2 linked regions of the Xenopus tropicalis genome follow. The protein of the gene in region 2 purifies or fractionates together with the protein of the main gene of each other region. This does not show direct contact. Links are inferred from orthologs where the notes say so. Each region holds a gene or a part of one and is shown on either strand. Other genes may lie near its edges.

Evidence for each region. Proteins that work in one complex are often made in the same cells at the same time.
Region 1: the proteins of ubtf (region 2) and sirt7 purify together in Homo sapiens (affinity purification with western blotting; 3 studies listed by BioGRID, with this or other methods). This does not show direct contact. The link is inferred for Xenopus tropicalis from reciprocal best matches to the Homo sapiens genes UBTF and SIRT7.

What each region holds. Positions count from the first base shown.
Region 1 is NC_030686.2:27,960,176-27,964,586, reverse strand, and holds the start of sirt7 (NAD-dependent protein deacetylase sirtuin-7), read left to right. Parts: upstream 1-1,543; 5' UTR 1,544-1,559; coding exon 1,560-1,637; intron 1,638-3,164; coding exon 3,165-3,302; intron 3,303-4,411. UniProt on the Homo sapiens protein: NAD-dependent protein-lysine deacylase that can act both as a deacetylase or deacylase (desuccinylase, depropionylase, deglutarylase and dedecanoylase), depending on the context. Specifically mediates deacetylation of histone H3 at 'Lys-18' (H3K18Ac).
Region 2 is NC_030686.2:18,512,456-18,515,918, forward strand, and holds the end of ubtf (nucleolar transcription factor 1), read right to left. Parts: intron 3,370-3,463; coding exon 3,322-3,369; intron 3,086-3,321; coding exon 3,017-3,085; intron 2,409-3,016; coding exon 2,268-2,408; intron 2,180-2,267; coding exon 2,057-2,179; 3' UTR 570-2,056; downstream 1-569. UniProt on the Homo sapiens protein: Recognizes the ribosomal RNA gene promoter and activates transcription mediated by RNA polymerase I (Pol I) through cooperative interactions with the transcription factor SL1/TIF-IB complex.

The DNA of each region.
Region 1 (4,411 bases), about 9.4 Mb from region 2:
AAGGTTGGGGGGATCCCTGTGCTAAGGGTTGGATTGAAGGAAAGCTGATGTAATTAAGATATTGTATTCATAAAAGGATTATGATCTCAACCTGCCAGTTATTTGAAACTTCTGCGATTTCGGGGAAATCGCGGCGCAGCGTATGCCATCCCACCGGCGATTTACATTTTCACCGGTGGGATGGCATTTCGGGGAGATTAGTTGCCCGCAACAAGGGAGATTTGTCGCAGGCGACTAATCTCCCCGTGTGTCTCAAAAAGGCCTGGAAAGGATCATTGTCTCCCTCGTGATATGGGGCTTGTTCACAGCTTTGCTAGAATTCTTTCTACTCTGACAGATCTAATAGTAGAAACTGCTAACATGGATGCCTTACCTGCTCAGAAATGTAATTTAGCATTTAGGCTAGCAACCCACGGAGCAGTTCAGTCGCTCGTGATAGATCTCTGCTATTGTGGGTGGCTAACCTCGTTGGCCAATAGGAGTCGCCAGTGGAAATCCCTTCACATGGGTAATCCAAAGCAAGGCAAAAGGCTTTCTACCGCCAACTCCTATTGTTGCTGGTGGAAAGCCATTATGGAGCGGTTAGTCACTTATATCTAGTAGAATTAAGTCTAAAACAACTGGACTTTTCTGAGTTTTTCTTGAAAACCTTTCACCACTCATCCGAGTGGCTTCTTCAGTTCAAATGACTGGTAGAGAATTCCCCAGTATTTAAAGGAGAAGGAAAGGGTTCAAAATTCGACCCCATACATAGATAGGCCACATGTACCTGTAGCTGATTGCTACATTTTTTTACCTTTTTTGCAGGTACTTTTAGAGCACTCGTCGTTCGTTCTGAGCGCTCTTTTGCTTCTTTTTTGCATTGGATATTTATATTAGTCCAACATGGCGCAGCTTAAGTTGATGTGCATGCGCAAACCTTCTCCCTCCCCTATACGCGAGCGCTCCTGCATATGTTAAATGTGAATGCGCTTACTCAAGAGCTGGCCTTAGTCTCGGTGCAGGAGTGAGGCATTATGGGAATCTTCTTTACACAGCTCAGCGTTTTTTCTTCCTGTTTGGCTTCTGATAATCTGAGATTAACTCTTTATTAGCCTTTCCTTCTCCTTTAAACCCTTGATGGTAGTACAGTCGCAGATATCAGATCACAATGGTTCCATTTAGCATTTAGGCTAGGAACCCATGGAGCAGGTTAGTCACCTGTGATAGCAGAGATCTATGGTGAGTGACTAAACCGCTCCCTGGTCTGTTACCCTTAAAAGTACAGTACATTTCCTGGGCCTACCAGTTATTATCAGGTGGAGACTTAAATCTCATTTTTAAACAAGAGCCTTGATTTTTTTTGGCGTGTAAATTTAACCAAGAGTTTTGTGCAAAAAATATATTTCACTCTCAAGATTTAGTAAAATAACAACGTGGTTATTAAACTGCCATAAAACATACATATACTACTGCTATAGTAGCCTGTTACAGTCTTCGGCTGCAATGTTTTTATTGTAAAACCTTTCCGGAAGCGGAAGTTCCTTTCCTATCCAAACGCACTGACTGGAACTGCAACAATGGGGCGCGCAGAGAGGAAGGCGGAAGCGCGAGAGGAAATTCTCCGGCGAGAACAGAACCGGGACCGGCTCCGGCGGGTAAGTACCTCAGGCGGGGGGGAAAGTACCTCAGGCGGGGGGGCAAGTGGCTGCGGCGGGGGGGGGGGTAAGTACCTCAGGCGGGGGGGAAAGTACCTCAGGCGGGGGGGAAAGTACCTCAGGCGGGGGGGTAAGTGGCTGCGGCGGGGGGGGGTAAGTGGCTGCGGCGGGGGGGGGGGTAAGTGGCTGCGGCGGGGGGGTAAGTGGCTGCGGCGGGGGGGGGGGGGTAAGTACCTCTGGCGGGGGGGAAAGTACCTCAGGCGGGGGGGTAAGTGGCTGCGGCGGGGGGGGGTAAGTGGCTGCGGCGGGGGGGGGGGTAAGTGGCTGCGGCGGGGGGGTAAGTGGCTGCGGCGGGGGGGGGGGGTAAGTACCTCAGGCGGGGGGGGTAAGTACCTCAGGCGGGGGGGTAAGTACCTCAGGCGGGGGGGTAAGTGGCTGCGGCGGGGGGGGGGGTAAGTGGCTGCGGCGGGGGGGGGGGTAAGTACCTCAGGCGGGGGGGAAAGTACCTCAGGCGGGGGGGCAAGTGGCTGCGGCGGGGGGGGGTAAGTACCTCAGGCGGGGGGAAAGTACCTCAGGCGGGGGGGCAAGTGGCTGCGGCGGGGGGGGGTAAGTACCTCAGGCGGGGGGGAAAGTACCTCAGGCGGGGGGGTAAGTGGCTGCGGCGGGGGGGGGGGGTAAGTGGCTGCGGCGGGGGGGGGTAAGTGGCTGCGGGGGGGGGGTAAGTACCTCAGGCGGGGGGGGTAAGTACCTCAGGTGGGGGGGTAAGTGGCGGCGGGGGGGGGGGTAAGTGGCTGCGGCGGGGGGGGGGTAAGTACCTCAGGCGGGGGGGTAAGTGGCTGCGGCGGGGGGGGGGGGGTAAGTACCTCAGGCGGGGGGTAAGTACCTCAGGCGGGGGGGGTAAGTACCTCAGGCGGGGGGGTAAGTGGCTGCGGCGGGGGGGAAAGTACCTCAGGCGGGGGGGAAAGTACCTCAGGCGGGCGGGTAAGTACCTCAGGCGGGGGGGTAAGTGGCTGCGGTGGGGGGGGTAAGTGGCTGCGGCGGGGGGGGGAAAGTACCTCAGACGGGCGGGTAAGTACCTCAGGCGGGGGGGGTAAGTACCTCAGGCGGTGGGGTAAGTGGCTGCGGCGGGGGGGGTAAGTACCTCAGGCGGGGGGTGGTAAGTACCTCAGGCGGGGGGTAAGTGGCTGCGGCGGGGGGGGGGGTAAGTACCTCAGGCGGGGGGGTAAGTACCTCAGGCGGGGGGGTAAGTACCTCAGGCGGGGGGGGGTAAGTACCTCAGGCGGGGGGGGGTAAGTACCTCAGGCGGGGGGGGGTAAGTACCTCAGGCGGGGGGGGGGGGTAAGTACCTCAGGCGGGGGGGGTAAGTGGCTGCGGTGGGGGGGGTAAGTGGCTGCGGCGGGGGGGAAAGTACCTCAGGCGGGGGGGTAAGTACCTCAGGCGGGGGGGTAAGTGGCTGCGGCTGCGCTTATGCTGCAGGATTCTGTGGGCACGATGAGACGGCTTGGGTTGAACTGTTTCTCTCCGCAGGTGTGTGTGATCCTGCACAAGCCGGCCGCAGACAGGAGCCCAGAGGAGAGTGAACTGCTGGGGAAATGTGGGGACTTGGTGCACGAATTGGAGAAACGGAGGCTGCATGTGGAGAGGCGGCGGCACCGGGAACAAGAGGTGAGGGAAGGGAGGAGGAGAGTGAGCCGAGCGCCATAGTTGGGCTGTAGGCGTCGCAGACCCGGGATGGTCACTCTATTATTCACTGCAGCCATTAGTTGCCCCTGGCCAGCTTTCCCTGCTCACTCCCTATTTGTGCACTATAGCTCAGACACATTACCCTACAAGTTTACAGTACTATTCTTCCCTGTATCCCTCTGCTAAACTGGGTGGTTAAGCCCTGAGAGTTGTAGTTTCTCACAAGGTATATTACATTTTTTTCTTAAGGTGGCCACACATGTGGCGATTTTCGATCCTTTGGGTGACCATTGGTCGCAGGAAAGATCGTTCCCATCCTCCACAGACATTCAGGGCTGAATCATCCGATAAGGAGGTAAAAACAATAGGAATTCTACCTCCTTCTGCCGATTCAGCCCTGAAGGCAGATTCTGCTCAGGCGCCTTCTATGGCACCCAATCAAAATCTTTTTACCTGCCTGATCGGCGAGTCGACCGATATCCTCAGCCTTTTGCGATATCAGTCGCCTCGCCGAGTCGCCATACACGCACCCAATATCGTACGAATCATCGGTGCATGTATGGCCAGCTTTACTGTAAAGATATCCACTTTGCTCAGACTATTCCTGCTGTTTTGGGCTTGTTAGCGGATTTGCTTGCTAGCATGCATGTGGTACTTGTCATGCAACAGACTAATTGTCTTGGTGTTATGGCTCCATACTGCGTGTAGGTTCCCAAAGTGTGAGAGTGGGTACGAGAACAATTCCAACTTGGCCATCCTTTTCTAATAACTGGAGACCTTCTGTACTTTTTATGTGCTTAGTTGGTTTTATTTGGACTTTCTTCATTTCATTGATATACTTTTTAAATCTCCATGCACAAGTATAGAAGTCGCTGCATGCAAAATGTGGCGCGTGACTAGTCACCACGACTTTCGTGGTGGGTGATTAGTCACCTGACTGGATTTTAAACATTGTGGCGACTAGTAACCTCGTCTGTATCACCTTTACAGAAAATGTAAAGATAGTAAAGAAAGATCCTATGATCACTTTTAGGGGAAGGCGGATTAGAGGTTACAGTTGCTCCAGCTCAGAGACCCCTTTCCTCATGAAG
Region 2 (3,463 bases):
GCACACAAAATTCCAAGGGGCAATTACTGCAAGGTACCCCCCAGCTGTCTTTCATATTTAAAGGAACAGTAACATCAAAAAATTATTATGTTTTAAAGTAATCAAAATATAATGTGCTGTTGCTCTGCAAAAAATTGTTTTTTTTTTGCTACAGAAAAGCTACTTTATAAATAAGCTGCTGTGTAGCCATGGGGGCAGCCATTCAAGCTGGAAAAAAGGAGAAAAGGCACAGGTTACATAGCAGATAACTAGTAGATAAGCCCCATATAATGGGGGTTTATCCGTTATCTGCTAAGTAACCTGTGCATTTTCTCCTTTGAATGGCTGCCCCCATGGCTACACAGCAGCTTATTTATATAAACTATAGTAGTCTTTCTGAGGCAAACACACCAGTTGTAGCAATGCAGGGCAACAGTACATTATATTGTAATTACTTTTATACACTTTAAATTTTTGGTGTTACTGTTAAAAACTCATAAAAACTCATAAAAACACAGGGACTAAATACAATCGCCAGTCACTTCAGACACTCTTTTTTTTGCTGATGAATGAAATGAAACAAGCTCACATATTTTCCCTAAAGTTTTATTTTCCAGAGTACTGAACAGAAAACCTTTCCCCGCCCGCCCTCTTTTTACAAAACAAAAATGAGAACGCACGCATTTCTGAAACTGCCTACACTAAATCAATGGATGTTACAAAACACATTTTTTTTGTTTTTTTTAGTCATTTTTCATTTTAAACTACAAAAAAGCGCTTTTTGTGTTTTAAATATCGTCATTACAGAAAAAAGGGAAAAAAAAAAAAAGATATTTGTAACACGGCTCACATCCTATTTTTTTTTCCACAGTGCTGAAAATGCACTAAAAGGGTTTTACCTCTCACTGTGCGTTCGTACCACACCGTAAGAATCTACATTTCCCCAAAAAGAGAAACAATATCAAAGAATTTTTTTTTTTTTTTAAACAGAAAGAGATACTAAAACAGGTCTGCTAAAATACAACATTGTTTTAGGTACAAGCAAAAAAAAAAAAAAAAATTGAATTAAACAGCCCACTTGCCCACAAAGAAAAATCTCTTGTGAACAAGGTTTTTGTATTCCTTTTGCTTTGGGGCCCTGCCGGAATTGTATCCCATTTCTAATGGTTTGCGTGCCTTCCTGTCATGTGACTGTCTATATATGGGTTATCCCCCACCCAAAACATGCCAAACCCCCTCCCACAATTATATTACATATAGGGGTCAGACTTGTGCTGACCCAGGCTGTCCACATATATTACAGAGTAGAAGTGATATTAACCATTACACCATGGCTGCAATATATTCCTGCCCTCACTGTCAGGAATAGCATGGACGCTGGAAGGACAGAATGAGATAAAGAGATTGAAGCCCAGACAGAGTGGGGGAACGGGGTTAGCTATAGGAGATTATGGCAAGAAGCAGGGAAATGATAGAGAGGGCAAGCAGGACAAGACCCAATATAGACCAAAGCATAATGTGAGGCCAAGTGGGTTGGACAATATGCAGATGACAAAGCAGAGGGGCAATTCCATATTGTCAATTGTGATAAAAAACAGAACACAAGTGAAATAAGAATGGGCAGCCAAAGGCGGGAGGCAAAGTGAGACAGGTTCAGTACAGGTGAGAGTGCTGGCAATAGAAAGACAGTGCTATATAGGGTGCCCGGGCACCACAGATAGGAAGACATAGAAGGGAGAGGGATAACAACAGGAGTCCAATAACCAAAACAGTACTGAGAACATTATGATACAGAGCATGGGAACGCAACAGTAGGAAAAATGAGTGATATGATACGGCACCAGGTAGAGGAGACTCCTTTTGCAAGAAGTAAAGGAAACCCCTTCCACTCAAAGGAAATTTGCCATCCATCTCCTTATAACTTGACCCTGTAAGCCATCCCTACTTGGTGGCAAAGATTCCACACATTTCAAGCCATACTATAACAACCCTAACAGCCCTGAACAGGGTAAAAATATTGCCCCCTCCCCCTTTTTTTTTTAACCCATCCCCGAGTCCGGATGAAATTTCAATGTATTCAGTTAGAGTCCGAGTCAGAAGAGTCTGCAGAAGAAGAGGAAGAAGAGCTGGATCCTGATTCATTGTCATCGTCCTCTTCATCATCCTCATCATCCTCCTCCTCATCTTCTTCGTCTTCATTCTGCAGGTAGAGAGCAGAAAGCGTGGCTCAAAAAAGGAGGGTTGTCACTGGAAGCTCTAGGCTCCCAAACCAGCTGAAGGTTACTCACCTCCTCACCATCCTCACTGTCCTCATCACTGCTAGACTCTGAAGAATCTCCATCTTCAGATGAGTCCTCCTTATCTTCATCTTCATCATCTTCATCATCCTCATCATCGTCGTCATCATCGTCATCGTCATCATCATCCTCCTATAGAGGGCAGCCATAAAACAAAAGAATTAACTTAATCGCACCCAATGCATCAAGTTTGGAGTACCCTACAGGTGCCGACAGAGCAATTTCTGCCCCAGGCCTGGTAACCAAATCAACATATTGCATTAACTAAAGTTGGAAAAATAAAGCAAATACTTGATTGGAGCGGTACTCTGGGGCAACTTGCAACTGATTTTCAGTATTTATGAGTATTAAATGAATTCCCAACACTGTAGATTCAATGGTTATGGTTTTTTTTTTATTGATCTATGCATCAATGTGGGGCAATAGCAACAATGAAAAATTTGCAGCTGGGCAGTAACCCACAACAACCAGTGGTTACCATTTTTTAACCAACTGCAGGAAGAACAATAAAAGAATAAACTTGATTGGGTTACTGCCCAGGTGCAAATTTCCCAAGTATTCATAAATAAGCCATTGTGTGGGTCTTTATGGCATGGCAAAACAACCTCCATGGCACGCAAAGAATTACATTAAAATTCATAATTGAAGATGATAGATTCCTTTTCATTTTAGGTCATCTTTGGCATTTTGGCACAATTTGCAAGTATACCTACAGGTACGTAAGAATAATAAATACTTACCGATTTGCTCTGAACTACTAATTTGGATTTGTTGCTGGGAGTCTGTATTTTTGTTGTACTTTTGCGTTTCTGCCAAAAAAAACAAAAAAAAAAAAACAGGTAAATAAATTACAAGTTGGATGGTCAACCCATAGCATTACTTCACATTGTTAAAAGTAAAAGCATTTTGCAGGGCAGCATGCAGGACAGATGATATATACACATATGCTGTGCTCTATTCTGACAGCACTTCACTAAGGCTCCATATACACATAAACCTGATGAGGTCATACATCTTAAATCTCTCTCCCTCAGACCTCACTTACATTTGAATTCTGTTCCTTGTATGCAGCACGGTCTTGTGACGATAAAGTCTATAAAGAAATTCGAACAAAATGATTAAAACTTTAAGATAAGGCAAATGCATGAAGTCATGGCATTTCAGGGGCTTTTTCTAGAATGCTATAA